Linked DNA regions of Sus scrofa. The protein of the gene in region 1 interacts with the protein of each later gene in a pairwise test. Links are inferred from orthologs where the notes say so. Each region holds a gene or a part of one and is shown in the gene's direction. Other genes may lie near its edges.

Evidence for each region.
Region 2: the proteins of PRKAB2 (region 1) and DAO interact in binary tests that used the Homo sapiens proteins (3 or more experiments, as listed by UniProt). The link is inferred for Sus scrofa from reciprocal best matches to the Homo sapiens genes PRKAB2 and DAO.
Region 3: the proteins of PRKAB2 (region 1) and MAGED1 interact in binary tests that used the Homo sapiens proteins (3 or more experiments, as listed by UniProt). The link is inferred for Sus scrofa from reciprocal best matches to the Homo sapiens genes PRKAB2 and MAGED1.
Region 4: the proteins of PRKAB2 (region 1) and AES interact in binary tests that used the Homo sapiens proteins (3 or more experiments, as listed by UniProt). The two-hybrid records come from large-scale screens. The link is inferred for Sus scrofa from reciprocal best matches to the Homo sapiens genes PRKAB2 and TLE5.
Region 5: the proteins of PRKAB2 (region 1) and CDX4 interact in binary tests that used the Homo sapiens proteins (3 or more experiments, as listed by UniProt). The link is inferred for Sus scrofa from reciprocal best matches to the Homo sapiens genes PRKAB2 and CDX4.
Region 6: the proteins of PRKAB2 (region 1) and PYGM interact in binary tests that used the Homo sapiens proteins (3 or more experiments, as listed by UniProt). The link is inferred for Sus scrofa from reciprocal best matches to the Homo sapiens genes PRKAB2 and PYGM.
Region 7: the proteins of PRKAB2 (region 1) and UBXN11 interact in binary tests that used the Homo sapiens proteins (3 or more experiments, as listed by UniProt). The link is inferred for Sus scrofa from reciprocal best matches to the Homo sapiens genes PRKAB2 and UBXN11.

The regions. Positions count from the first base shown.
Region 1 is NC_010446.5:100,385,044-100,388,543, forward strand, and holds part of PRKAB2 (5'-AMP-activated protein kinase subunit beta-2), read left to right. Parts: intron 1-1,169; coding exon 1,170-1,303; intron 1,304-2,594; coding exon 2,595-2,663; intron 2,664-3,500. UniProt on the Homo sapiens protein: Non-catalytic subunit of AMP-activated protein kinase (AMPK), an energy sensor protein kinase that plays a key role in regulating cellular energy metabolism.
Region 2 is NC_010456.5:41,947,829-41,951,763, reverse strand, and holds the start of DAO (D-amino-acid oxidase), read left to right. Parts: upstream 1-1,135; 5' UTR 1,136-1,324; intron 1,325-3,935. UniProt on the Homo sapiens protein: Catalyzes the oxidative deamination of D-amino acids with broad substrate specificity. Required to catabolize D-amino acids synthesized endogenously, of gastrointestinal bacterial origin or obtained from the diet, and to use these as nutrients.
Region 3 is NC_010461.5:45,325,539-45,329,782, forward strand, and holds the end of MAGED1 (melanoma-associated antigen D1), read left to right. Parts: coding exon 1-494; intron 495-603; coding exon 604-667; coding exon of another isoform or gene 668-865; coding exon 866-945; intron 946-1,150; coding exon 1,151-1,242; intron 1,243-1,465; coding exon 1,466-1,545; intron 1,546-1,636; coding exon 1,637-1,679; intron 1,680-1,950; coding exon 1,951-2,013; intron 2,014-2,591; coding exon 2,592-2,706; intron 2,707-2,944; coding exon 2,945-3,322; 3' UTR 3,323-3,330; intron 3,331-3,535; 3' UTR 3,536-3,744; downstream 3,745-4,244. UniProt on the Homo sapiens protein: Involved in the apoptotic response after nerve growth factor (NGF) binding in neuronal cells. Inhibits cell cycle progression, and facilitates NGFR-mediated apoptosis. May act as a regulator of the function of DLX family members.
Region 4 is NC_010444.4:75,490,758-75,495,007, forward strand, and holds the start of AES (amino-terminal enhancer of split), read left to right. Parts: upstream 1-1,450; 5' UTR 1,451-1,624; coding exon 1,625-1,651; intron 1,652-2,785; coding exon 2,786-2,883; intron 2,884-4,250. UniProt on the Homo sapiens protein: Transcriptional corepressor. Acts as a dominant repressor towards other family members. Inhibits NF-kappa-B-regulated gene expression. May be required for the initiation and maintenance of the differentiated state.
Region 5 is NC_010461.5:59,087,899-59,091,930, forward strand, and holds the start of CDX4 (homeobox protein CDX-4), read left to right. Parts: upstream 1-1,232; 5' UTR 1,233-4,032.
Region 6 is NC_010444.4:7,408,141-7,412,129, forward strand, and holds the start of PYGM (glycogen phosphorylase, muscle form), read left to right. Parts: upstream 1-1,189; 5' UTR 1,190-1,619; coding exon 1,620-1,862; intron 1,863-2,939; coding exon 2,940-3,041; intron 3,042-3,129; coding exon 3,130-3,208; intron 3,209-3,303; coding exon 3,304-3,407; intron 3,408-3,761; coding exon 3,762-3,893; intron 3,894-3,989. UniProt on the Homo sapiens protein: Allosteric enzyme that catalyzes the rate-limiting step in glycogen catabolism, the phosphorolytic cleavage of glycogen to produce glucose-1-phosphate, and plays a central role in maintaining cellular and organismal glucose homeostasis.
Region 7 is NC_010448.4:83,701,016-83,704,515, reverse strand, and holds part of UBXN11 (UBX domain-containing protein 11), read left to right. Parts: intron 1-388; coding exon 389-491; intron 492-930; coding exon 931-985; intron 986-1,450; coding exon 1,451-1,527; intron 1,528-3,500. UniProt on the Homo sapiens protein: May be involved in the reorganization of actin cytoskeleton mediated by RND1, RND2 and RND3. Promotes RHOA activation mediated by GNA12 and GNA13.

The DNA.
Region 1 (3,500 bases):
CTCATGGATTCGTCTCCACTGAGCCATGATGGGAACTCCTGTAGTTTTAAAAGCTCTTTCTAGTAATATTTCACGTTTTTCATTGACCTTTAACAGTGTCAACTAGCAGGGGCTAGTTGAGTTTGGTTTGCCTTCTTTAACTGCCTCAGCCTAATCCTGCCAGTTTGATAGCTCATTTGGCAGTTCTATAATTTTATAAGGCCCTATACTTAAGTCAGTCTGTAGAAAAAAAGCCTCACATTTCTGAGAAAAAAGTATCTATACATGTATGTGTAACTGGGTCACCATGCTGTACAGTAGAAAATTGACCAAACATTGTAAACCAGCTATAATGAAAAAAATAAAAAATCATTATATTAAAAAAAAAAACTCATATTTCTATTGTGTGTATGTTAACTGAAGTTTTTAAAGTTTTTGGTTAAAAAAAAAAATTTCCTTGTTAGAGGAAAGACCTATATACTTTTGTTTCTCACAATATTTTTTCCAAGCCCCTCATCTCTACTTACATTGGCTATAGCACCAGAAAAATAATTTGCTATCCATATTCACAGTTATCGATTTTGTAACTTTACAGTAAAGGCTCTGATTGTCTAAAGAAGTGTGTTCCAAGGAAGCACACTTCTTCCTTGTGAACGCAAAGTCTGCCTCTGCTACTAATTAGCTTTGCCATCACAGATGAGACCTTCAATGCTTTTGGTTCTCAGTTGCTTATCAGTAAAATCAGAGGCTTAGACTTTCTGTGATTCTCAGCTGAGACACAATACCTGAACTGGGCATATTAGAATCTCAGGGCACAAGGGTGGCTTGTGCAGGTTCTAAAAGTATAATTAATAATATAATAATTATCTGTTTGGGAGTTTTGTGGTGGTGCAGCAGCTTAAGGATCCAGTATTGTCTCTGCTGTGGTGTGGGATCAATCCCTGGCCCTGGAACTTCTGCATGTCTTGGGCGTGGCCACAAGATAATAATAATAATTATATAAAGCTGTGACCTTTGCTGCAGCTGTGGCAACACCAGTTGCTTTAACCCACTGTGCCACAGTAGGAACTCCAACTTTATGATTCTTGTCTTTTACCATATTTAGTATTAGCTGCCATGTATTGACAGTTTTTTCTTGCATTTTTTGTAGCTTCCCATCTTTCCCTTATATTTGTATAAATATCTTCCAGACCTTTCCAGCTCACCCCCAGGGCCTTATGGTCAAGAAATGTATGTGTTTCGATCAGAGGAGAGATTCAAATCCCCACCCATCCTGCCTCCCCACCTTCTCCAAGTTATTCTTAACAAGGACACTAATATATCTGTGAGTATCCTAAGAGTATTATTGGGGCATCTGGGGGTCACTAGGGCCATTTGAGCCAAAGTTATGTAATTCTAGAAGTTGGGATTATTAAAAAGTTATGTTGAGTATAAATCATATACTTATCAGTAGTATTGCAGGTTCCTTTTTCCAGGGCTAAGTTGTGACTTTTCCAGGTACTTATATCAAAATTTATACTTGTCAAAAAAAAAAAAAAAAAAAAAAAAAGAGTTCCCGTCGTGGCGCAGTGGTTAACGAATCCGACTAGGAACCATGAGGTTGCGGGTTCGGTCCCTGCCCTTGCTCAGTGGATTAACGATCCGGCGTTGCCGTGAGCTGTGGTGTAGGTTGCAGATGCGGCTCGGATCTCGCGTTGCTGTGGCTCTGGCGTAGGCTGGTGGCTACAGCTCCGATTCAACCCCTGGCCTGGGAACCTCCATATGCCGCGGGAGCGGCCCAAGAAATAGCAACAACAACAAAAGACAAAAGACAAAAAGACAAAAAAAAAAAAAAAATTTATACTTGTCTTCTGATCCTAATATATCAGGCCCAGAGCTATGGATTGATAGAACTAGTTTTTAACATTTTTAATTCCAACATAAGATGAGAAGTACTTATCATTTGCAGTTATCCAAAAGAAGTATATTTTGCATATAATTTACATCCCTAGTTAACTCACTTGATTCCCACTAAGATTATTTTTGCCTCTTAATACAAATCTTCTTTGTGTGTTGTGGGCAAGGTTTTTGCTTTAGTCCTATTAAAGAGTATGAATAGATGCTGAGGCTTAGGGTTTCTGCCCCAGGCTCAGAATTTTCCGAATATTGTGTAATGGGAATGTATTGATATATACGAGGATGAGTGCTTTATTTATTTATTTATTTATTTTTGCTTTTTAGGGCCACACCCATGACATATGGAATTGCCCAGCCTATGGGTTGAATTGGAGCTACAGCTGCTGGCCGACGCCACAGCCACAGCCACACCAGATCTGAGCCATGTCTGCAGCCTACACCACAGCTCATGGCAACACTGGATCTTTAACACACTGAGCAAGGCCAGGGATTGAACCCATGTCCCCATAGATACTACTGGATTTGTTACCACTGAGCCACAGTGGGAACTCCCTAAGTGCATTATTTAAAAGAGATAATACATTCTCGTTTTGAGTTTCTCAACAGTTCCAAAGAGCCCTGGGAAGAATAAACTCTTTGGTTTAAGATCTTTGATTTAACATTGTGCATTTAACCCCACTTAGTTGTTTTTTGGGGGTTTTTTTTTCCCCCTCTTTTAGTGTGACCCAGCCTTGCTACCTGAGCCCAATCATGTTATGCTGAACCATCTCTATGCATTGTCCATTAAGGTAAGTGGTGGGCCTGGCTCTTCACAAAGCTCCCCAAAATCGGAGGGCATGGGTTGAACATATATTTTCCAGTAGTTTCTTGCTCTGTTTCTTCACTGAAGCTGAAGCTGGCAGAAATGGTCAAATCCATTTTTTAAACTAGTGGGTGAGTTTGTTTTAAATCTTAGTCTCACTATCTGAGTTCTGTCCAGCTGAATTGCCCTGTGATTAAACGGACTTTTTGCTTCCTGGTTTCTTTTTGGGTAGCTGTAACCTTTGTACCACCTACTTAATTAAGTTTGAGTTCATAGTACTAGGATTTCCTTTTCAGAAAAAAGCAAGTTTACCTTCCAATTCAGAGAATGCTTGAATGTGATGTTAGTTAAGGCTTCTGCTTTTTTAAAGGTGTACATGGACTGCTTTCAGGTGCCTGAGTCACATATACCCAATTGCTTGCATCTTGCTTATACACTAAGTAAAGGAGAAATGTGACTAGATTTGCCCTGTGCCCTCCCAAGTCCTAGAACGCCTCTCGGTTTCTCAGCTGCTTTACACTCTGCATTGAAAATATCCATTCAGTCTTACCATGTCTTTGTGGTCTGGCTATTCGAATAAAGTTTGATATAGCCCTATAGTTTCTAAACTAAGCTGAACATCGTCAGAATCATTTGGGGGAAGTTTGTAAAAAATACAGATTCAAAGGCTCCATCCCCAGGGATTCTGAAGGAGTGCATCTAGGATGGATCCCAGTTTTTTTAAGCTGCTTTTATTTCTTAGACGTGCAATCAGATTAGGGAAGTCAATGACACAGCTGTCTTTAATGTGGTACTTATTAAATATATATAAAAAAATTAAATT
Region 2 (3,935 bases), on another chromosome or scaffold:
CAAATGAAATGGAAGCATAGAAGTAAAAGGTGGAGTTCACCTTCATTTTTTATTATTAAAGAAAAATACTATGCACTAGTATGTTGCATGCATTTTCAATGTTCATCTGCATGTTTTTATTTGGTGATGTCGAAGGCAGGGGGTTAGAGGCCGGACCTTTAAGGCTGACCTGAAGGACGCCTCACCCAGGGCTGGTTGGTCCTTCTCCATGGGCCTCAGTCTTCCCATCCATACAGCAAGGTGCCTGATGCTCTCTGGACTCTGTGATCTCTGCTCCAGGTCTAGCTATGGCAGAGGAGGGACCTGGCGTCCAGCGTTTGTGTCTCTGGGATACAGGAGCAAAGAGCCACATATCTTTCTTTTTTCTTTTCTTTTTTTTTTTGGTCTTTTTGCCTTTTCTAGGGCTGCTCCCACGGCATATGGAGGCTCCCAGGATAGGGGTCAAATCAGAGCTGTAGCCGCCGCCCTATGCCAGAGCCACAGCAATGCAGGATCCAAGCCTCGTCTGCGACCTATACCACAGCTCATGGCAACGTCAGATCCTTAACCCACTGAGCAAGGCCAGGGATCGAACCTGCAACCTCATGGTTCCTAGTCAGGTTCGTTAACCACTGAGCCACGACGGGAACTCCCAAGAGCTACATATCTTTATGGTCCAAACAGGCATTGCCCTGAGTCTCTCCTTGGCCTTAGCCACCTAGCATTCCAGAACGGCATTGGGCTGGCTGGCTGGCCTGGGGAGCCCCTGTCCTACACCTCTGGTCTCCCCGAAGGCCAGACTCACAGAGGCTCAGGGAGCCACCCCCTCCTCCCCCAGGGTGGCAGCAGGAAGAAGGAAGAAAGAGGATCGCCTCCAGCTGGCCCGGGAGACAGACCTTCCTGTGCCTATTAGCCCTCCAAGAACCCCATCCTCCCTCCCTCCCTCTCTGGAGGCCTGTCCACAGGGACTTGGGATCAGCCAGAAAAGTCAGGCAACTTTTCAGGGACTGGAGCGAGGGGAGGTGAGGTCTCCCAGCCTGGCCTGAGTCCAGCCCCTGTGAGCAGCGCGGTGCCCAGCCCCACCCCCTGCTGTGCCCTGTCTGTAACTCCAGACTTTGACCCTGAGCTCCAGTCCCGGCTGAGGACAGGACGCCCCAGAACAGGAGCCTCCCTCCAGGAGAGAGGACCCTGTGCCCACAGCAGCTGCTGCTTTTCTCCAGAATTTCGGCACGCCAGGTGAGTGGGTCGGGGGCAATGGCGGAGCAGATCTGAGCGTCCTCCCAGTGTCGACAGAAAAAGTTCACGTGAGAGTCTGACGCAGGTGACAACCTTGAAGGGACCACAGGTAAGGACTCTCACCTCTCCAAGCCTCAGTTTCCTCACCTTGAAGATGGGCATCATAACTAACCTTTTACAGGCTTAATCTGATTATTAAAAGAAGTGATGACTATAAAGGGCTTAGCACAGAACTGGGCATATAGCAAGTTCGCAGTACATGGTAATTATTTTTGGGGGGACTGGGAGCTGGTAGCCAAGCTTTTATAGAATCTGTTCCATTTTAAAGATAAACTCTGAAACTTCATAAAAGGTAGCCATATGGGGCTCATTTCAATATCTCACCTGTGACTTGATCTTTTTTTTTAAACAATTCTTTCCTCTTTTTTTTTTTTTTGATGTGTGTGTAACAATCCAAGGCATGAGTGGCATTAAGTTCCTTTCTAGGGACAAGGGAGGTTATAAGCAAAAAAATGCAAGACCGAAAAGTAAGCAGAAAGTGTCAGTGGCCCATTTATTGCCGGCTGCCTAAAGAGCTCTACGGTGCAATGCAGAAAACTCAGGTAGAACCGGGTCCAGATCAGAATGCTGGCCCATACTGGCTGTGTGACTTTGGGGGAGAGACTTCCTCTCCCAGAACCTCACATCTATAGAACCTCTTAGAGTAGCTGAGCAGATTAAGAAAATGTCTGTACTGCATCTGCATGTGTCTGGCAAGTGGCAGACGGCCAAAATTCCCTTCCTGCTCCATGCATATGTAGACATTATAATTACACACACACACACACACACACACACACACACACACACACACACACACAAATGTGATAACCTCAGCTGTTTGCATCTTCCTGAATGCATGGGCCAAGCACGCTTGGTTGAAGCAATGGCATAAAACAGAAAACTGCAATGCTAATAAAAACAGCAACAACAAGACAAGGGTTGGACAAAGACAGGACTGTGTGTAAAGGTGACCAGGAGCTCATCACTCACATGCATGAATGATTTTCCCCAAGGCTGGGTCTCTCAGATCCTATAGTCTGGCAGCTGACTCTGCTCAGAAACTTATATATTTACACTGCATTTTAATACACACATGAACACACCCAAAGTTGCTATAATCAATATCAAATTAGATTCAAACACTTAACTAAGATAATTGACTTAGGGCATACATATTTCCTTTTCAATTCTATGCCAATCACCAACACACTAAAAACTCCTACACTCCTTATGTTTATTGTTTTTTTTCAATGCAGGATCATGAAGTCTTAGCTGTTTCTCTTCACCTGCTTGATTTCTTTTCAAATCATGGGGTTTGCACACAGAGCACAGTGGGTAAGCACACAGCCTTGAGAATCAGGCCGGCCTGGGCTCTCCTTCTAACCAGCTCATGTCTGAGCCTCAGTTGTCTCATCTGTTAAATGGACATAATGATAACTCGAGGGTTTTTAGAAGATTAAAATAGATAATGTATGTCAAGTTACTGGAAGAACTTGACTCGAAAAATGTGTGACACATATGAAGAGTTGAAAAGCTAGCAGCTGAAAGTATTTTTTAATTCAGTGAATTTTATTATATTTATAGTTGTACAATCATCACCACAACTTAATTTTAGAACATTTCCATCCCAAATCTCAAGTCCATCTCTCCCCCACCAACCTGTCCCCTTTGGTAACTGCACATTTTTCAGAGTCCGTGAGTCTGTTTCTGTTCTGCAAATAAATTCATTTGTATCCTTTTTTAGATTCTACATATAAGTACTAGCATATGATGTTTGTCTCTCACTGCCTAAATTTACTTAGCATGATAATTTCTAGATCCATCCATTTTGCTGCAAATGCCATTACTTCATTCCTTTTTATGGCCAAGTAATATTCCATTGTACACATGTGCCATATCTTCTTTATCCAGTCCTCTGTCGATGGACATGTAGGTTGCTTCCATGTCTTGGCTGTTGTGTATAGTGCTGCAATGAACATTGGGGTACATGTATCTTTTTTCTGGAGCCACGGTTTTCTCCAGATAGATGCCCAGGAGTGGGATTGCTGGATCATATGGCAGTTCAATTTTTTTTTTCAGGAATTTCCATACTGTTTTTTTTTGTGTGTGTGTCTTTTTAGGGCCACAATCACAGTATATGGAGGTTTCCAGGCTAGGGGTCGAAGTGGAGCTGTAGCTGCCACAGCCACAGCAACACCAGATCCAAGCCGCATCTGTGACCTACACCACAGCTCATCGCAATGCTGGATCCTTAACCCACTGGGCCAGCGAGGCCGGGGGTGGAACCTGGGTCCTCATGGATGCTAGTTAGATTCGTTTCCACTGAGCCACGATGGGAACTCCTTTTTTTTTTTTTTTCATACTCTTTCCTGTAGAAGCTGCAATTATTACTTCCCCATTGCCAGGCCTTCTCTTTCACGGAAACTTTTCAATCCCAAGACTCTACAGATCCTTGGATCACAAACATGTGACTTTGGCTGTGTGGCCCCTCTTCCCTGGACCTCAGTTTCCCCTTCTGCATGATGCTGTTTTGCTCATCTTTAGAATGTTAGACATTGGAGAAACTGAACCACATGCTGTAACTTGTTCCTCTTTATCTTGGCTAGTTGGACCCAGCAGTTTCTCTGGGTCCCCTCCCCCACAGCCCCATGCTCTTCTCTTGGGTAAGTACCATGGCT
Region 3 (4,244 bases), on another chromosome or scaffold:
ATCAGCCAGCCAGGCAGACCCCACCAGCACGACAGAGCCCCCCAGCTAGGCAGACCCCACCAGCCTGGCAAAACCCAGTTGCTTGGCAGAACCCAGTGATCTGGCCAAACCCAGTGATCTGGCAGAATCCTGTGATCTGGCCAAACCCCATTGTCTGGCCTGGTCCAGTTGTCTGGCCGAACCCACTGGCCTGGCAAAATCCACCTGGATGGCAGACCCCACCTGGATGGCAGACTCCACCAGGCTGGCAGGGTCCTCCAGATTGGCAAGGCCCTCCTGACTGGCCACTGCCCCCCGACTGGCCACTGCCACCTGATTGGCCACTTCCCACTGACTGGCCGCTCCCACCTGACTGGATTCCCACTGATTGGCCAGTTCCACCTGACTGGCAGAACCTGCGCCCCTCACCGAACCTGCGCCCCTCTCCCAACTCGCGTGCCTCACAGAACCTGGGTGCCTCACAGCCCCGAGATGTGGCCCTTCTTCAGGAAAGAGTAAGAATTGTAACTGCAGTCACTTTCCCTCTCCCTCTTGCTCTTTTCCCTCTTGTCAAGTGGCCTGTAAATCGCTTATAACTTTAATGCTTTCTTTTTTCCTTCTCAGGCGAACAAGTTGGTCAAGTACCTGATGCTTAAAGATTACACAAAGGTGCCCATCAAGCGCTCAGGTGGGCATCCAGTGCCCTCTCCCAGAGCTCTGCCCTGTGTGGCCATTTCTTTGCTCATGTCCCTTCCCCTTCAGTCCCCTCCTTCTGCAATTGAGTCTTCCTTTTCCACCCTTGAGGACATTGCTCCCCTCAGCAGGGCTGGCAAAGAGGTTGTAGTTCTGTGGCCTCAGCTCAGGTGCTCCCTCCTCTCTCCTGCAGAAATGCTGAGGGATATCATCCGTGAATACACTGATGTGTATCCAGAAATCATTGAACGCGCATGTTTTGTCCTAGAGAAGGTGAGAAGGCAGCCCTGAAGGACAGGAATGATGGGGAAGGTTTTTTTAAAAATAGATATTATGGGAAAGTCTCGATTTCAAAGATTTCATAGGATCCCTACTGGGAATTTAGGGTGAGTGTCACAGGGAGGGGAGTGACTGAATATGGGTAGCTTATGCTAGATTTTGTAATTTCATAGTCTGATTTTTTTTTTGGTCCCTGTAGAAATTTGGAATTCAACTGAAGGAAATTGACAAAGAAGAACACCTGTATATTCTCATCAGTACCCCCGAGTCCCTGGCTGGCATACTGGGAACGTAAGATGGGAAGGGAGGTGGAACATGGCCTTTCTCAGGGGTGCTTTTTTCCTGGGAGTTTCAAGTAGGTCAAGGTCCAGGATTCAAGGTCACATAACAGGGTCATGTGCAGAACTGGGATAGAATTCTCTCCTAGCCTAACTAGGGAAGTGAGAGGGGTGAGTTGCCTGGGGCGTCGCATTCATATGGCTGTTGAAAATGTATTGTTTTTGTGCTCCTTTAGGACCAAAGACACACCCAAGCTGGGTCTCCTCTTAGTGATTTTGGGTGTCATCTTCATGAATGGCAACCGTGCCAGTGAAGGTGAGTGGCTGGACAAGCAACTGGGGGTTGGCTACCGCCTGATTTCCATGCTCATTTTCCGTCCCTTGTCTCCCCTTGCCTCCCATTGCAGCTGTCCTCTGGGAGGCACTACGCAAGATGGGACTGCGTCCTGGGTATGACTGGGCTCTCTCATCTCTTGCCTGTTTATATCATCCTTTGGTAACAGAGGATGGTCCCAGGATTGCATCAGCCTGGCGGTCTAGGGGAATTGGTTTGGGGAGGTACAGAGCCCAACGATGTGACCTGGGTGAACGGGAAATAGTTCTGACCTCTCTGCCTCTTCTCTTGCCTGTGACCTCTGTGTTAGAAAACGCTTTGCTTTTCTTTGGGCAATATCATAGTCTCTGATTATGAGTTCTTTTTTTTTTTTTTTTTTTTTTTCAGGGTGAGACATCCCCTCCTTGGTGATCTGAGGAAACTTCTCACTTACGAGTTTGTAAAGCAAAAGTAAGTGATGCCTAAGCGACTTTGTGTGGTCCTCATGAGTTCTGTGTGCTGGTCAGCCTCAGAAAGCCCCTCTTATGCTCATTTCTTACACTCACTTATACCTATACACAGGCATACAGACACACATGTGTACTCAGGAGTATTTATTGAGTATACTCCTTATAGTTGAACTTTTCTGCAGTATAGTTATCTTGCAAGTGGAGCCTGTCCACCATGCCCACAGTAGGTATTTCCAAGGCTGGGCTTGGCTGAGGCTTTTGCAGTGGGCCTATTTGTGGCTCAATGACAAAATTACAAGACCCTGGAGCTAGAGCTGTTGTGACAAAGGGGGTGAAATTAAGTGCTGTCCTTTCTATGACCCTACGCCAGTCACCCTCCAGCCCTGGGTGATTGCTGGGTGTAAAAGCACTGGCACAGGAACGTGAAGGCCTGATTATTAGAGGGTAAACAATCTGTTCAGGAATGAGACTGGGGGGAGTTGTACCTGAAATCTGGGGTGTCAGAATCTAGCATTATTATGCACTGATGGACTATCATTCTGCTTGGGTAGAAACAAAGGCCTTTCTGCTCTTTCTAAGGTACCTAGACTACAGACGAGTGCCCAACAGCAACCCTCCTGAGTATGAGTTCCTCTGGGGCCTCCGTTCCTACCATGAGACTAGCAAGATGAAAGTGCTGAGATTCATTGCAGAGGTAATAGAGGAACTGCTCCAGACTTGCTAGGTCAAGGGATGAAGTATGACTGGCTGGGAAAAGTCCAGAGCAGGAATGAGATCTTAGGTATCGCACATGTAGGTGCCACATCATTGGTGGCATTTGTTGTTGTTACTGTGCAAACAGTAGCACAACGTAGGGCGTTAAATATATAGCAGGTGCTTCATAAATATTAATGAATACTATTCTTGGTTTTATTTTCTATTCCTTATCTCAGGTTCAGAAGAGAGACCCTCGTGACTGGACTGCACAGTTCATGGAGGCTGCAGATGAGGCCTTAGATGCTCTGGATGCTGCTGCAGCTGAGGCAGAGGCCCGGGCTGAGGCGAGAACCCGCATGGGGATTGGAGATGAGGCCGTATCTGGGCCCTGGAGCTGGGATGACATTGAATTTGAGCTGCTGACCTGGGATGAGGAAGGAGATTTTGGAGATCCCTGGTCCAGAATCCCATTTACCTTCTGGGCCAGATACCACCAGAATGCTCGCTCCAGATTTCCTCAGACCTTCGCTGGCCCCATTATTGGCCCTGGTGGTACAGCCAGTGCCAACTTTGCTGCCAACTTTGGTGCCATTGGTTTCTTCTGGGTTGAGTGAGATGTTGGGTAGGTATATCACTTTGGAATTGGGCATTTAGGGTCATTGGGGATGTAGAGTCCATGGGAATGTATTTATGTGCTCTAGCTGGGAGTCCTAGGAAACCCATGGTGGGGAGATGAGGAAGGTATGGGGAAGCACCATTTGGTATTTTTGTTCCTTATTTGGTATATAGCATTGATTTTTAATTTTCTTTCTTTTTTATGTTCACAGGTATTGCTAATCAGTTGCAACAGTCTTTCCCCTGAGTGAGGCTGAAGCCTCAGAATCCTTCTAAACACAGCTATCTAGAGAGCCACATCCTGTTGACTGAAAGTGGCATGCAAGATAAATTTATTTGCTGTTCCTTGTCTATTGCTTTTTTCCCCCTTGTGTGCTGTCAGGTTTTGGTATCAGAAATAAACGTTGAAACTGCAAAGTGAGTTAGATGTGTTCCCTGTTTTTTTCTGTGTTTAGGGAGAGATCAACTTGTTTATATGGGAGAGACGGGGCCTCAGTTCTAGCCTAACACAGAGGCAGATTAGTTTTCTGGCTAATGGATTGGGAAACAAGGGCTTGACGAACATGAATGCTAATGAGATCCAAGAAAAAGTATGGCTTATTTAATAAATATCATGTAAGTGACTCATATGTGATAGATACTCTGCTAGGTGCTTTGGAGTGACATTGAAAGATGAAATAATGAGAGAGGGTGTAGGTGGTCAGACAGTTGCATTTAAGAAGACAGAAGAGGCAGAACTCCAGGTAATAATAAAGTTCAAAGAGTGGGTGGCTGAAGGGAAGGGAAGATGACTGTTCCCGGAGATAATGTTCTGGGGACTCCAGGGTGTTGGTTGTATTATCCATGTGGAAAGTGAATAACTCCAAGATGGGGGCAGAAATAGGAACAGAGAACACTGTGAACATGGTTCCTAAGTTTCCT
Region 4 (4,250 bases), on another chromosome or scaffold:
TTGTCCTGGACCCTCATCTTCCTGGGAAAGGTGACCACGGTCCTAAGTCTCCATTTTACAAATGGGAAAACCCAAGGCTGGAAGAATTTAAATTCATCCAGGAGGCAAAGGTGCATAGTGGATGATGATGATGGTGACAATTAAGAGCCTATGTATTTAGCACTTCCTGGAACTTAATGTGCCTTATTTCTGGTTTCTTGGAGGCCTGCTCTCCACAGGAAAGGGAGAGAGATCCTATCAAAGTCCCCATCAGCCCTGTTTCTCCTCTGCCCACCATCTCACAGGGCTCCCATCTCACTCCGAGCAAGCCCAAATCCTCCCTGAGCCCACAAGGCCCTGCACCATCTGTCCCGCCTCATCACCAGCTACAGAATTTGCAGGCCCCAATGCAAAACAAGACCATTCAAAAATTATTAGGAATTTCCAGACCAACACAGCAGATCATCCACCCAAGCAGAGGCCCTTCTGGAAGCCAGGCCTCTGTGCAAATTCCAGAAGCTGCTAGCCCTGCCCCTCTGCTCCCTTTTCCTCTCAAGCACCCCACCCCCACCTGTGCTAGGCACAGTGCTGCCTCAGTACCTTTGCACTGGCTGTTTCTGCCTCCTAAAATAAGCGACCAACCCCATAGCCTACTGGCTCCCTCTCTCGTCTTCAGATCCGCTTAGCGGCCAAAGAGGTCCATCTGAGTTCCCTCTGTTTAAAATCACATCTTCCCGGCCCTCCCTCCTGCTTTCTTTTCTCTATAGCTGTTACCACCATCTGACCTGCCAGGGACCTGGCTCTTTGGCTGGTCTCTCTGTCTTCTGTCTTCTCCACCAGGGTAGGGACTCTGTACCCCCTCCCACCCCCACCTGGCACACAGTAGGCGCTCCATTAATGTGAGTCAAGGTATGGCTCCCAGGAGGTCGGCGGTATCATCCCCGCCTTTCTACGGAGGAGGAAACCGAGGCTCAGAGAAAAGCCAGTGAGCCAAGGTTACAGAGCATGTCCCTGGCACGCGTCCGGGTCGCGCCATGACAGCGCCGGCGGTTTCGATGGGGGCAGCCGGGCCCCAAGCTTTGACCGATGGGGAAACCGAGGCCCTGGCGGTTGCCGAGGCCACCCGGCCGGGAGGGGCCGCGGCGGGGCGGGGGCGCGCGGGCCCAAGGTCACCGCGCCGGCCGGCCCGGGGGAGGCGGATGGGTGGGGATCCGCGGGCCTCCCCGGGCGCGCGCCCCCCCCTCGGCGGCGCGCACGGGGCCCGGGAAGCAGCAGCGGCGGCGGCGGCGGCGGCGGCGACAGCAGCAGGTGGAGCCGGAGCCTCCGCGCAGCCGAGGCCGCGGCCACTGCCGGCGTCGCCGCCATTAGACAATAGGAGCGGCGGCCGGGCGTGCGGGGAGGCGGGCGGCGGGGAGGGGCGGGGAGGGGCGCCGGGCGCGCAGGAAGCGGGGCCCGGGGCGCGCCGGGGCCGGGCGCGCGGGGAGGGGGCGCAGGAAGCGGGCGAGGCCGGGCGCGGGAGGCGGCGGCGGCGGCCCCGGGAGCTGCCGATCGGCTCCGGGACAAAGGCGCGGCCGCCCGGCGCCCCGAGCAGCCCGAGTCGGGGCGCACAGCCGGGGCGCAGCCTGCGCCCCCCGCCGCGACTGACATGATGTTTCCACAAAGCAGGCATTCGGTAAGCGGGGCCCGTCGGCCCGGCGGCCCCCCCCCCCCCCGTCCGGGCCCGGCACCCCCGGTTCCCAGCCCAGCCACCCCCCCCAGCTCCGGGCCCTGCGTCCCCCTACGTCCTGGCCCGGTATCCCCAGTTCCCAGCCGGGGCTATTCCCTCCCCCAGGTTCGGGCCCTGCGTCCCTCCAGGTCGGGGCCCCGTACCCTCCCATATCCGAACCCAGCGCCCCCTCTAGGTCCAAGCCCTGCGACCCCCTTCCAGGTCCCTGCCAGGCCAACCCCCCGCCTCCAGCTCGGCACCTCCCCCCAACTCCTGGGCCCAGTCCCCTCCAGCTCTGGGCCCAGAGCTGCTCCCCCCCCGCAACCGCCGCCAGCTCCGGGTCCCCCTCCCAGCTTCCGGGCCCAGAGCCCCCCCAGGTCCCCTTTTGCCCCCAGCTCAGAGCACGCCCCAGACCCTGGACCCTGCGCACCCCCACCCCAAGCCAGGCTGGGCCTCGCTGGCCTTGGCCTGGGGCCTGGGGCGCCCCGGGAGCCCCACTAGGCACCTCTAACGCTGGGGCTGCTTTTGGGGCCTGGGAGTGGGGGAGAGTCAAGGCGCACCCCTCCCGGAAGAGCGCGCGGCCTGGAGGAAGGGTGCTAGGAATCTGGGGTGGGCCCCCGCACCCCCGGAAGATTTTGGGCGCTGAGAGCCCCCTCTCCCAAGGGGACTTTGCCAGGAAGCCTGCCCCCGCCTCCCAGCTTTGGGGAGGGGGATTCACTAGGACGCGTTCTCCCCCCTCCCTGAGGCAGTTGGGACGCTCAGACGTGCAACCCCTCCCGGCGCTGTGGAGGCGCGGTAGAGGGCGCACCCTACCCCCCACCAAGGGCGGCCCTTCAAATGCACCCCCACAGCCTGGGGGTGGAGGGGGACGAGCGGCTCCGGGAGCACCCACCCTCCTTAGCTTCTCGGGGAGAGGCGGGGGCAGGAAGCGAGGGCGGGGGCCGAGCCAGGGGCTGTAAACACAGCCAGGGAAGTGGGGCAGGGTGTGGGGGGACGCTGCAGCTGCGCAGGCCGCAGCCTGGTGGAGGGGGGGCGCCCTCAGGGAGGAAGGTGGGTGGCGGCCCCCTCCTGGTCCTGACCCGGGCCGCCCCCTCCCCACAGGGCTCGTCGCACCTACCCCAGCAACTCAAATTCACCACCTCGGACTCCTGCGACCGCATCAAAGATGAGTTTCAGCTCCTGCAGGCTCAGTACCACAGGTGAGCTGAGGGCTGGTGGTCCCTGCCCTGGGTGAAGGTGGAGCCCCCTGCTCAGAAGGCAAGACTGAGGCCTGGAGCTGAAGTTGTGGTCCCTGCTATACACACAGAATGGGGGGAAAAAATCGGTATTGAGTGTCTCATGTGGCAGACCAGGTCTCCAACACTTACGGATATTAAATTCATTTAGTCTTTAGGACAGTCCCATTTCATAGAGGAGAAAACTGAGGCACAAGAATTTAAATAATTTGCCCAAAGACTCAGCCGTCTGGTTTCCAAGCCCCTCTCCCCTCCCCCACCCCCACCCCAGACTGCGTTGGATAAAAGACCTCCCAAGAGCTGGAGTTGGGGGCTGGATCTTCCATCGCCCCACCCACCCCTCAAAAGAAAGTCTATAGCTTGTTATCTCTTTGCCTAGTTTTGGAGAAAAGGTTTCTGGCACCCAGCAGCAAGGCGATGCTCCCTCCAGAATTTAATCTAACATTTCTAAAGGGCTTGCCATGTGCCAGATCTAAGAAAAAGGAACTATTATTATCTTCATTTTACATTTAGGGAAACTTAAACCCAGAGGTGATAGGGGTTTCCTGGGGTTGCCCAGCAGGGAAGTGGCAAAATGAGATTCTCACACTCAGTTTCTGGGTTGAAGACTGCAAAGTCTCAAGCCTTAGCTCCGGAGGGGGTCTTTGCTTGAGAATCAGAAGGGGGTCCATGGCCACAGATACCAGTGGGGTCTTGGGCTTTCTCTGGACCTCAGTTTGGTCACACAAAAGTGTTCTATGAAGGATCCTGAGTTTTCTCCAAGAAGAGATAGGAATAGTGAGATCTGTTTTTCCTTTGGGGGTGTTCCTATCCTCCCCATTTGCCAAATACTGAACATACATCCTTTTATTGAATCTTCCCTGCTTTTTGATCATATGCCCATTTCAAAGTGAGGAAACTGAGGCAAGGTGGTTGAAGGGCAGGCCCGGGAGCTTTGTTCTGGTCCTGTGATGTGGAGGGTTTAGGAGCTTTGCTTGTCAGGCCTGGCCTTTCTGAGCCTCTCCAGGGGTCCTACCCTCCCTACCTGGCCCTTGCTCTCCTCTGATCCAATCTGGCTGGCCGATCTGACTCCAGAGACTGAGGGTCAGGTTGCTGCCTCATGCTGTGTGACCTCAGGTAGGCCAGGCCCCCTCTCTGAGCTTTGGAGTCACGATCCGCTGGGCCTGGGCTTCCTGCTATACAGCGAGGAGTCCTACTGTGTTGGGGACTGGTACAGTATCTGCCAGTCCCTCAGGAAGGGCCAGAAATGCAGTTTGGAATGAAACTGCCTTTTTTTTTTTTTTTTAACAGTGGCAGCAACTGTACATTTTTAAAGAAAATTAGAGAAGCCA
Region 5 (4,032 bases), on another chromosome or scaffold:
AAAATCCGGGCCAGGGAAGTGGGAGAGGTTTGAGGGCAGTAGAGAGTAGGGCTGGCCTATTCTGGTAGCCCTGAGAGGCCAGACCAGGCTTATAAAATATTTACCAGACAGTGAGATCCTCCTAAGCATTAAGCCTGCTACAGAAAAGGCTTACCCAGATCCCCATAGTCCATCACAGGTGGACTGTACTATTTATAAAGCAATCTCACATCCATTATCTCCTGCAGGCCTTACAATAACCTGGTTGTGGGGGTCGGCTCAGAGCTGGGTAGTGGAGGGGTGTCTAACTGAAGCCCCATTTGACCCACGCCTCTCTAAGTCTCAGAAAAACTAACTGATCACTCCCTAGTGGTGCTGAATAATCCTTGCACAGCCGAAGCCCTGATCTTTAGCTCATGGGATTTGACTTTTGTTGCTGGTAATTCTGCTTCCTGTGAGGCTGCCTCTCTGGTTAATCTCCAGGTTAAAGAAAAAAAGGGAGAAGAAATCAAAATTTCCAGTCCAATAAACTAGACTTAACCTCCCTGCTGGTCCACCTCTCTCTCCCACTTCCCTACTCTCCCACCTCCCTATCCTCCCACTCCTACTGCCAGAAAAACAAATAAACAAAAACACAAAACCAAGTAATCCTGAAGCCAGGTTCTGCCCAGCACTGAACAATGTACTTACTGGGTTCTCTTCCATATGTCCCTAGAGCAGAGTCAAAATGATGATTTCCAATCTCTGATTCCAAGGTCATTTATTGATTCAGAACACAAATATTTCTTGAAATCCTATCATGTGCATGACACTCCACTCTACAGGGCTCAAACACACCTCCTCACATCCTCTCAAATTCCAAAAGACTCAGCTAAGACCCCAAATAAGGTGGACAAGAATAGTATTAGTCAGTGAAGGAGGGGAATTGATGACAGGATTTAAACAAGAGGGAAAGTACTTTCTGAGAGGAGCATCATAACATAGGGCTTTAGGGAGGAGGAGTAATTTGAGCTGAGTCTTGAAGAATAGGGAGACTTTTAACAATTTTTATTGATAAAAACAGTCTAGAAAGGTTCCTGTCGTGGCTCAGTGGTTAACAAACCCAACTAGTAACCACGAGGTTGCAGGTTCAATCCCTGGCCTCGCTCAGTGGGTTAAGGATCCAGTGTTGCCATGGCGTGGCTTGGATCTGGTGTGGCTGTGGTATAGGCTGGCAACTGTAGCTCTGATTTGACCCCTAGCCCCCCCCCCAAAAAAAAAGTCTAGACAAAGGGACTTGCATAAGCACATAAGCAAACATACATTTTTTAGTGGAAAAAGTGTTGATCTGGGAGTCAACTGACCTGAATTTGAATCTCAGTCCTGCCATTCACTGCCTTAAAGAAAACCTTCCCCACTCAGGCCCTCCATTTTCTCATAGGTAAAAATGATATTTGGTTAGCTAACTTTTAAAGGTCCTCCATGGGCTTTCATCCTGACATTGCATTTCAAATATCAAGTAGGCAAGTTTGCATCAGGATAGAATACATGAAAGAGAATAATACAAGAGTATTGGGTCTATGTTGTGGAAAAGATTGAAAGCCAGGCCTGGGAGCCTGAGCAGAAGCCAAGCCCCAGACCTGAGGTTGTATGTTTTGCCTGGTTCCAATTTAAGGACATGAACTTTGCAATCATGTCTGCCTAGGATGGGAACCTAGCTCTACTACACATCAGTAGTTCATTTACACAGTCATGCCACTTCTCTGAGCCTCAGTTTCTTCATCTTTAAAATGGGAATGAAAATAAATAACTCATGGGGTGTTGTAAAGATGAAAGGCGATCATGTATAAAAAGTGCCTATAAATATGTGACTTTCCTGCTCTTTAGTTTCTTCTCCCCAGTGCCAGGTTTTAATTAGCCTTCATTGACCAATTACTTCCTGTTCCTTCTCCTTCTCCAAAGCAGGCTTCATACCATATCCAGAATTCAGCCACTTCTCTCCATCCCCAATGCTATTCACCTGGATTATTGCAATAGCCTTTTAACTAATCATCCTGATTCTGTTTTGCTCATTTACAATCAATTCTTAATCTAACAGCCAGAGTGATGCTTTCAAAACTTAAATCATGTCACTCTCAAAACCCTGCAATGTCTCCCTACCTGACTTAGAGTATAAACTTAGAAATTTAAAATGACCTACCCTCATTAGCTTTTGAACCTAATCTGCTCATTAGCCACAATTTCCTTCTTGCTATTTCTCCAATAGAAGACAGACATTGTCTCCTCACTTGTTACCTCTGTCTGGATCCTTTCCTCATAGCTCACTCCATCACTTCTTTTATGTTTTATTTAAATGTCATTTTTAAGTAAGGTTCTCCCAGACCACTGCATATTAAACTGCAACACCCTCCAGCATTCCCTATTGTCCTTCCTGCTTTATTTTTCTTCACAATATTGATTATTACCATCTAACATACCATAAAATTTAATTACTTATTAGTATCTCCCCCCTTGAGAATATAAGCTTAATAAGGTAAAGAGCTTTGTCTGTTCACTATTGATGTCTCCATGCGTAGAATAGCACCTAGCCCTCAATAAATATTTGTTGAGTAAATTAATGAGTACAGTGGTGCCATGCTGTGTATTAAGTTAGGCAGTTTGCATACATTATCTCAGGATATCCTGCCTTGTAAATGCAGACAGTTAGGATTCCTATCACACAGGGGAAAACCCTGAAACTCTAGAGATGAAGTGATATTCCCAAAGCTAAAGAGGGATTAGTTAATGGAAATGCCAGGTTGGGTTGGACAGTATAAAGGAGCAAGGTCCTCCAGTAGAAGCACAACCTGAACTAAAGGTTATGGTATGTTTGGGGAAGGGGAGGGGTGAGGGAGTATGTGGGTAAGAAGGAGTCCTGGGATTCAGATTGGTTTTGTTGTCAGGAGGTAATCTGGTTTTTTTGAAGCAAAATCTTGAGTTTGTGGCTATCTACTGGCAAGTCCATGTCTTTTTCAACAAATGGAGCTTTATGAAGGAAATCTTCTCAAGCGTGAAAGAAAGTTAGAGTTGCAGCTGCCCTGAGTTTGAGACTGCAGGAATTTGGCTCCTTGGGGTATTGACTTTGAGGCAGAAGCCAGCCTTAGCAGAAAGACACCCAAGAAAGACTAGTGAACTGTCAAGAAAATAAGGAAGCCCACTACCCACATGAGTATTTTCCTTCTTTCCTTCCTTTTTTTCATAACCTCCTCTCTTCATCTTTCTTTAATTTGTGCATACTTGTAAAACATCAAATTAATCCGGCCTTCCATCTACTGGAATGTAACCTTAAGAAGGCATAGCACCGGTGTTTCTCTCGTTCACTGCTCTGTCCTCATGTCTACAACAGCCTGGCAGACTGTAGGCACATAATATATAATTGTGAAATGAATTTCTGTCCTTAAAAACAAAGCTCTCCTCCTGGTGGAAGGGGCAATGAAGAGAAGGGAAAACCCCTTTCAGTGGTATCATGGGCCAGTGCCATGTGGAGTACTGGTGACAGGGAATGTGGGCAGAGAGGATACCACGGATGCAGGCTGGGTATGGGACAATCAACATAAAGGGAAGAGACCCTGGAGTAAGGACTGAATCCCAAAGAGTAGAATTTGGCCCTGATTCTGCACGCCTCCATCTCAATTTAGAGGGAGCTTTAGAGAAGCTCCTGCCTCCAAAAGTGCAAAATTAGTGCCACGGAACCAGACGGACTCAAGCGAGAAAGAGACAGAAAGGCCCCAGAGCTCTGGGAGAGGGAGTGTAGAGTGAACAATCCCTGTGAAAGTGAAATGGCCGTTCATTTGAATGCAAATGCTATGTAAAAGCCTAAAGCCCCTTGACGTCAGCCCAGCCTTTGGGGGCCCATCTATACCGGGCTACCAGTCACCTGGAAACTGTCAGGGTAGGAAATGCCGATGGAGTAGTCTGAGGGGCGCAGAGGAGCGTGCAGCACAGCTACGGACTAACCTACTGATTACCTACTGCTTCTCAAAGTTGGGTTAGGGCCTTACAGGGACTTCAGGATGGCTTAGGGTGTTCCTTTCT
Region 6 (3,989 bases), on another chromosome or scaffold:
TCCTCCGACACAGCCTGGCCCTCCCTGAGCCAGACTCTCAATAGCATCCTGCAGCTGTCCAAGCCCAGATCTGCTTCCTTGGCCCACAGGCCAGAACACCCAGTTCTCTGCTTCCACGGGCCCTCTGCCCCAGGAGGCTCAGGCATCCTCTGAAATAGCACTGGGCCCTGGTCTTCTTTTGCTCAAAGAACAAAGCAGCTTCCAAAGTCTGCCTCCACGAGATTAGGAGGCAGGGGCTGGAGGAGGCAGGTCTTTATATTCTCATTAGGTGAAGGGATTCAAGGCTCAGAAAAGCAGAGCAACCAGCCCAAGATCACATAGCAAATGAATGCTGGGGCCAGGGCACCAGCAGTGAATTGGGGGCAGGCAAAGCCTCAAAGGGAGGGGTCTGGAGGTGTCAGGCCATGAAGACAAATTCCTGGGGTGCAGAGGCCCGTTTTACAGGTGGAGTCACACTTGTGAACCTGGTCCACTAAGCCCTTGTCCACTGTGTGGCCCCAGGTGGGAGAGATGGGTAGGAGAAGGCCTCCAGCCACTCACCTGGCAGCCGCATCATGGGCGACTTGATATCATTGGCCAGTGTTGTGTGCGCGCACGTGCATGTGCGCATGAAGGGGGCGCTTCAGTTTCTCCTACGCCTGTGGGCCCCAGGACTACAGTTCCCAGGGGCCCCTGCTCCAGGCTGGTGGTCCCTAGCCAAAGCTGGCCTGTAATCTGACCATCCCTCTGCAAAGGTCACTTCAGAGCCCCTTGAGGGACAGCAACAGGGGGAGCTCAGAGTGGCTCGACTTAGGTGGGGGGGTGGGGTGTGCACTGTAGCCCTGCCTCAGGCAACCTTCCCCATACCACCCCCTGGAACGCAGGGTCCCGGTGCCCCTTCGTGCAGACACCCAGTATCCTCTGCTAGTTGCACTTCTGTTAGGGCTCATCCTCAGCGCCTGGGCCTTCAGCCCGTCCCTCCCCACCCGGCTGCAGGGCTGCCGTGGAAGCTTGACCGGAGGTCACCCCGCTTGGGGTTTGCAGTCTCTTCTGTGAATGTCTGGAACAGAAGCCAAGAGGCTCTGATGGGGGCTGGGGCTCCTGACCTGTCCTCCTTGACATCCCACTTGGCCCCTCCAAGGAGCCCTGATGGACAGCCGCCAAGGTCCGGCCCCATCTTTCATCTAGAACCCAGGAACGGGCCCAGAGCAGGGCAGCCTCAGCCAAAGTTGGAGCCCAGCGGCTCCGGTCAAGGCTCAGGCCTCTCAGGCCAGCCCGCCGCCGCCTGCTGCATCTTGTCTCTGACCCTGCAAAAGGCAGGGAGGGGGCCAGAGGGCAGAAGGGCCGCCGTGTGCGAGGGGTGGGGGGGGACGTGGGTCCGCACAGGGCTGCCGGGCCCAGCCCAGGCGGAGGTCCGGCCTGCTCTCCCTGCCCCTCTCTCCTCTCCTGCGCTTGCCCCAAAATAGCTCCCGGAGCACCCAGGCCAAGACCCTCCCCCGGAGGGAGGAGGCGGGGCAAGCTGCCCAGAGCCGGGCTTTAAATCGCCGGCCGGCCGGGGATCTCCACTCCCTGGCTGGAGGCACCGCTCAGGCCCCCGTCCCCACCGTCCGTCCTTCCGTCCGGCCCGCCCTCCCGCAGCCATGTCCCGGCCCCTGACGGACCAGGAGAAGAGAAAGCAGATCAGCGTGCGCGGCCTGGCCGGCGTGGAGAATGTGGCGGAGCTGAAGAAGAACTTCAACCGGCACCTGCACTTCACCCTCGTGAAGGACCGCAACGTGGCCAACGCCCGCGACTACTACTTCGCGCTGGCCTACACCGTGCGCGACCACCTCGTGGGCCGCTGGATCCGCACGCAGCAGCACTACTATGAGAAGGACCCTAAGGTGCTGCTTGGGGCCCCCCGGGTGGGGGATGGGCTGGGGGGGCCCTGCCCCGGGGGGCCCGGAGATCGTGACACGTGGCAGCCCTTTCCTGAGGTCAGGATTTGGGCGCAAAATAAAGGGTCGCTCCAGGTTCCTGAGGTTGGAAGATGCAGGGTGCCAGGTGCAATGGGTGCGGGGACCCAGGGGCGGGGTGCGAGGGGTGGGGTGGGGGTCAGGGGCCTCAGGTCAAGGCAGGCTGGTGGCAAAGGCCCTGATTGAGAGCCACCCACAGTCCAGCCCCCTCTTTCGGCTAGAATCTCGGAGCGAGGGGCTGTTGAGGGGGCAGGAAGACCCCTGTGGCCTGGGGTGGACCCTTAGTGGAAGGACATGTCACTGAATGTGTGCACAGCGCGTCCGTGAGCGGGTGGGGCTCGGCTGGGGCAGCTGAGGGGGGAGATCAAGTGTCTGTTGGGGTCACTGGTAAATGTCAGCAACCTGACACCTCTGGGCAGGAGTGGGGGAGGGGCAGACGGGTGGGGCAGGGAGGGGACCCAGGAAACCAGGAGACCATGCACCATCCGCATCCTGGAGCCTGGCGCCTCTCTGGCCCCTTCTTGGGACAGAGGCTTGAGGGCCAAGGGGAGCTGGGCCCTGCAAAGATGGGAGGTGGCTGCCTCTAGCCCTGAGTCATTGTGTGACCTTGAGCCAAAGACTTTTCTCTGGGCCTGGCCCCCCCTCCTGGGGAGCCCTTGGAGATGCTCCCCCACATCCTGACTCCCTGAGGGGCTGTTGGGAGGATTTCCTGCACAGGAAGGGGTTCCCACCTCTCCTAAGCACCTCAGCCCCCCAGGGAGATACAGCCAGCCCCATTTTCCAGATGAGGAAACTGAGGCTCAGAGAAGAAAAGTGATTTGTGCAAAAGTCAAAAGAAATGCTGGGGCTGGAACTTACCTGTTGGGTCCCCAAAGCCTGAGGAAGCGGGGAAAGAACATGCTGGGGCCTAGGCATGGGGCAGGACGTGTGAGAGGTGCGGCCCAAGCGAGCCTGGCTGAATGCATGTCCGAGGGCAGCCTTGACCCCGTCTGTCTCTCCGGACAGAGGATCTATTACCTGTCTCTGGAATTCTACATGGGCCGGACGCTACAAAACACCATGGTGAACCTGGCCTTGGAAAATGCCTGTGATGAGGCCACCTACCAGGTGTGTAGGGGTGGGGCAAGCCCTAGGGACTGCAGCATGGACCCGCTGGCCCTTGGCCCTGACGACTGGCACACCCTCCCCCTTCTAGCTGGGCTTGGACATGGAAGAGCTGGAGGAAATGGAGGAGGATGCCGGGCTCGGCAATGGGGGCCTGGGCCGGCTGGCAGGTGAATGAGCCGGGTGGCACGGGGGTGGGGGTCGGGGGTGGGCGGAAGGGTCCTTTTGTGTTGCGTCTCTGACACCCCTTTGTGCACACCCCTAGCCTGCTTTCTGGACTCCATGGCAACACTGGGCCTGGCTGCCTATGGCTACGGGATCCGCTATGAGTTTGGGATTTTTAACCAGAAGATCACTGGGGGTTGGCAGGTGAGCAACCTTGGGCCCTGGCCGGGTAGGGCCCTGGTTGTGAGGGGGAAGACCCCCTATGTGCTCATTCATCTGTGCATAGATCCAGAACTGGCCCAGCCCCCGGCCCCAGTCCCATCGTTATCTCTTGGGATGGGAGGGCCGTACCTGTGGGATCTCTCAGACTCTCATGCACACACCGTGTCCGCTTGGCTATCCCACCAGACCAGGGGCCCGCCTGCCCCAGAGTCTTTCATGTATGCCCTCCCTATACAGGGGCTGTATAGCTGCTGCTCCTGCCCTGCCCGCCACTTCTTGTGGCGTGAGCCTGGCTCTGACGCTGCTTTCCTTTCTCCCCGACCTGCTTGGGCTTAGATGGAGGAGGCTGATGACTGGCTTCGCTATGGCAACGCCTGGGAGAAGGCGCGACCCGAATTCACGCTGCCTGTGCACTTCTATGGCCGAGTGGAGCACACCAACCAGGGGGCCAAGTGGGTGGACACACAGGTGAGGGGGACGCTGGGGAGCAGAGGAGGATCCAGGGATGGGGAGGGGAGGAAGTTCTAGAGGAAACAGGGAGAAACAGGGAAAGATCCCGGAGGC
Region 7 (3,500 bases), on another chromosome or scaffold:
GTCGCACGTCTTTTGTCTTGGTGCCCTTTAACTTGTCCTCTATCCACCGTCTTTCCTGGGAATGAGGGCTGAGATTAGAGAAGTGATTCAACAGAGGGTGACCTTGCTGAGAGTGCTTCACGGTGATGTGACCCGATGTCGTACTGCTTCCTTGTACATCTTAGGCACGTTACTGAGTCTCTGTGCCTCAGTTTCCCGAAGCAGTTCATTCCCTCAGCAAAGCTGATCTATGAGCACTGTTGTAGGCAGTCCCCGTTATCTAGGTGGCAGCGGTTGTAACCAGGCTTATTTCTGCTGTCATGGAGCCCTCTCCCCCAACCCTGGACCCCCATACCCCCACCCCCCCACCCAGCTCTAGGCCTGGGCTCTAGGACTCTGTCTGGTTGGCAGTCCCTGTGTCCCACGACTCGGAGCTGGTGGCCACCATGATGAAGAAGTTGCGGGATCTGGAGCAGCAGGTGAAGGCCCAGGCTGACGAGATGCTGTTCAAGGTGAGGCCCCTGCCGGTAAAGGGCCAGAGTCCGGTCTAAGGGGCAGAAGGGCCTGGGCTGGGGAGGCTACTCATAGTGAGGCTACTATTGCAATGGGCCAGGGTGGACAGGTTCTAGAACCATCTCCCTGAACAAACCGCCCAACTCAAGGGCTAGTCTGACTTGGAACTGATCTGGGTCCCCGTGACCTGAGCAGAGGGGCTAAGGGGTCTCCTCCACATCTGAGCAAGTCCTATAGACCTCAGATTGGGTGGTAGCAGTGGCTACGGAGTACTGGGCGCCTGGGGGTGCTTCCCACCTCGGTGGAACCACAAGGGTCAGTACAGGAGTGGTGGCGGTACCAAGGCGGGCGGGGACTTTATGCTGCATCTCCCCATCTGCAAGGGGCTCCCTTGGGCTCTGGGAACCACCATGCCTGCTCCCTCCCGCCTTGCTGCAGGATCGGAAGATACGGGCCCTGGAGGAATTGGTGGAGACCCTCCAGGAGCACCAGGGTAAGAGACCCTCACAGCGGGCTGGTCAGCCCTCCTGTTGTACCTCCCCTGGGCCGGTGATCCCTGGGCAGCAGGGCTCCAAAAGCATCAAGCTGAGTCCTCGGTGGGTTTTGGACAGCAGAGCCCAGAGGGGAGCCGTGACACACCCGGGGCGGTGCTCTGCTGTGTGGGACTGAGTCCTCTGAGCTCAGGGTTTGCCATCAGAAGCCTGGAGGAAACCAGCCCCCTCAGCCCCTCGCTCTGGGGGGAGCGGGGAAGTGAGGCTGGCGGCCTCCTGAGAGTCAGTCAGGGCACCCCTCTCCAGGTCAGGTGGAGAGGCCAAGAGGCGGTTCTCAGGGGACCCCCTCAAGTTCTCAAGGGGCAGCTTCTGCAGGTGACCCTCAGGCCAAAGCTCTGGTCACGGTCAGAGGTGGCCTGGCAGCCTCCGAGCTGGGGCAGAGGAACCCCTCCTGTCTTTCCCTGAAGGCTCAGTGACCCTGCGGCGGCAGGAGGAGCTGGAAGCAACGTGCACTCAGCTGCAGCGGCAGGTCGGGGAGATGGAGGTGAGGGAGGCGGTGGCCAGGGCCGTCTGCCCCCAGGGACTGGGTCAGAGCCCACCTCACTGGACCCCTCGCCCCACCCCACACAGGGTTTCCCCAGTCAGGACTCCCCCAGAGCTCCAGGAGCCAGGGCAGGGCCGGGGCCCACCCCCACTTCAGGCTTTGGCTGCCCCCCCCCCCACCCCGTCCTGAACCATTCTCCCCTCTAGTCCTGGGGACCTGCCTCAGGTTTTTGACTCCATCAAGCCCTTTCCCACCTCGGGACCTTGGTCCGTGCTGTTGCTTCCACCCCAAGTATTTTTTTCCCCTGGTGAACTTTCACTCATCCTCTGTGTCAAGTCCAAGTAGGGGGTCCTTCCCCGGGGGACCCCCTTGGACCCCTGACGAGGGCAGGGTCTCCATCATGGGCCTCCTTAGCACCCCAGCTCTCTTCCCCTGGGCCTGTGGGCTCCGTGAGGGAGGGGCTGCTTTTCCCGTGTTCACTGCCCTGTGCCCGGGACCTAGAGCGGGGGCCTGGCCATACATGTTCACTCCATTGGGCAAAACCATTCCCTGCCTCTGAACGTGGAATCTCACCCATTGTCACCTTTCTTGCCCCCATTCACAAAACATGGCTTGAACCAGAGGGTCTCCAGGCTCAAGGGAGGGTGCTGGGTAGGCCCCTTCCTCAGCGCCACCCACACTCCCTTACTGGACCCCCGCCCCCGCCAGAAGCTCTTCTTGGGGTCTAACCTCTCCTTCACCGCACAGTTGGTTTTCAAAGCCCCAACCTCGTTTAAGACCACAGAAGCACACCGCCCCCTCGGCCCCCCACGGCCCCCCAGCCCCAGCTGCAGCCGAGGAGCCCGCCCACCCAGCCTGTTCCTACCGGGGCTGTGGGAAAACAGCTGCTCCCCGCTGGCAGCCAGTGGGGCTTCTCTGAGCAGCTGCCACAGGGCGTGAGGGCCGCCCCCCCAGAGCCTCAGGGCGGAGGGCATTGCAGCTCCTCCGATCATATTGTTCACACACTTAGGGCGGCATCGATTTAGCAAACGCATACAAAGTCTCCTGTGTGCCCGGCACCCTGCCAGGCCCTGGGATTAGACAGGGTTCCTGGCTTCAGGGGGCTGACAGGCTAGAGGGCCAGTACAGAGGAGGACACACAAGTACGGAATATGGTGAAATATTTAAATGGGTGACACAGCAGAGACTAGCCTGGGCCTCTCTGTGGGGTGACATTGGGCAAGAGAACTAGATGAGGAAGGAGCCAGGGAATGAGGATCCAGGCTGAAGAGATGAGCCTCCACCTCCTGCCATGCAGACCAGGCTTGGGTGGGTGGGGTTGTTGTGGGGAGCGGAAGGAAGAAGAGGCTGCAGGGACCACATCCTGGGGGGCAGGGCAGGGGGCAGAGTCCCTGAGAATGAGAAACCATAGGAAGCTCTCAGGTAGGAGAGTGCCGGGGGACGAGGCAGGGAGCAGCGCGGTTTGTCCAAGATGGAGGTGACCGTGGCCCGAACCAGGGGAAAGGGAAGAGAGTGGACAGATTCAGTCTGCTTGGGAGCTGGTGTCACGGGCCCTGTGGGTCCTGGGGTGCAGGGAGAGGAACAGTCCTGGATGAAGCTCCGACGGAGGCAGTGCCTCTCCGTTGATGGCGACAAGGGAGCCTGGGGGGAAGAGGTGTGGGAGACGTCGGGGCGAGGAGTCATGACTAGGCCGGGTTCACTTTGAGATGCCTGTTAGCCATGTACGTGCGGATGGCTGGGGATTTGAAACTGAAGAGGAAGAACACGTGTCGCGGGCGATGAAGGCAGACTCGCGCCCACTGGAATAGGCACGAGGCAGGTTGCAGGTGGCTGCGTGTATGCAGTTGCAGTGAGCTGTGGAGTTGGAGGCTGGGTTGAGGTGGGTCGAGGAGAAGAATGGAGATGAGGAAGCTGCAGCAGGAAGTGTAGACAACTCCGTTTTCCTGGGAGTGGCCGTGGTGGCTCAGCAGGTT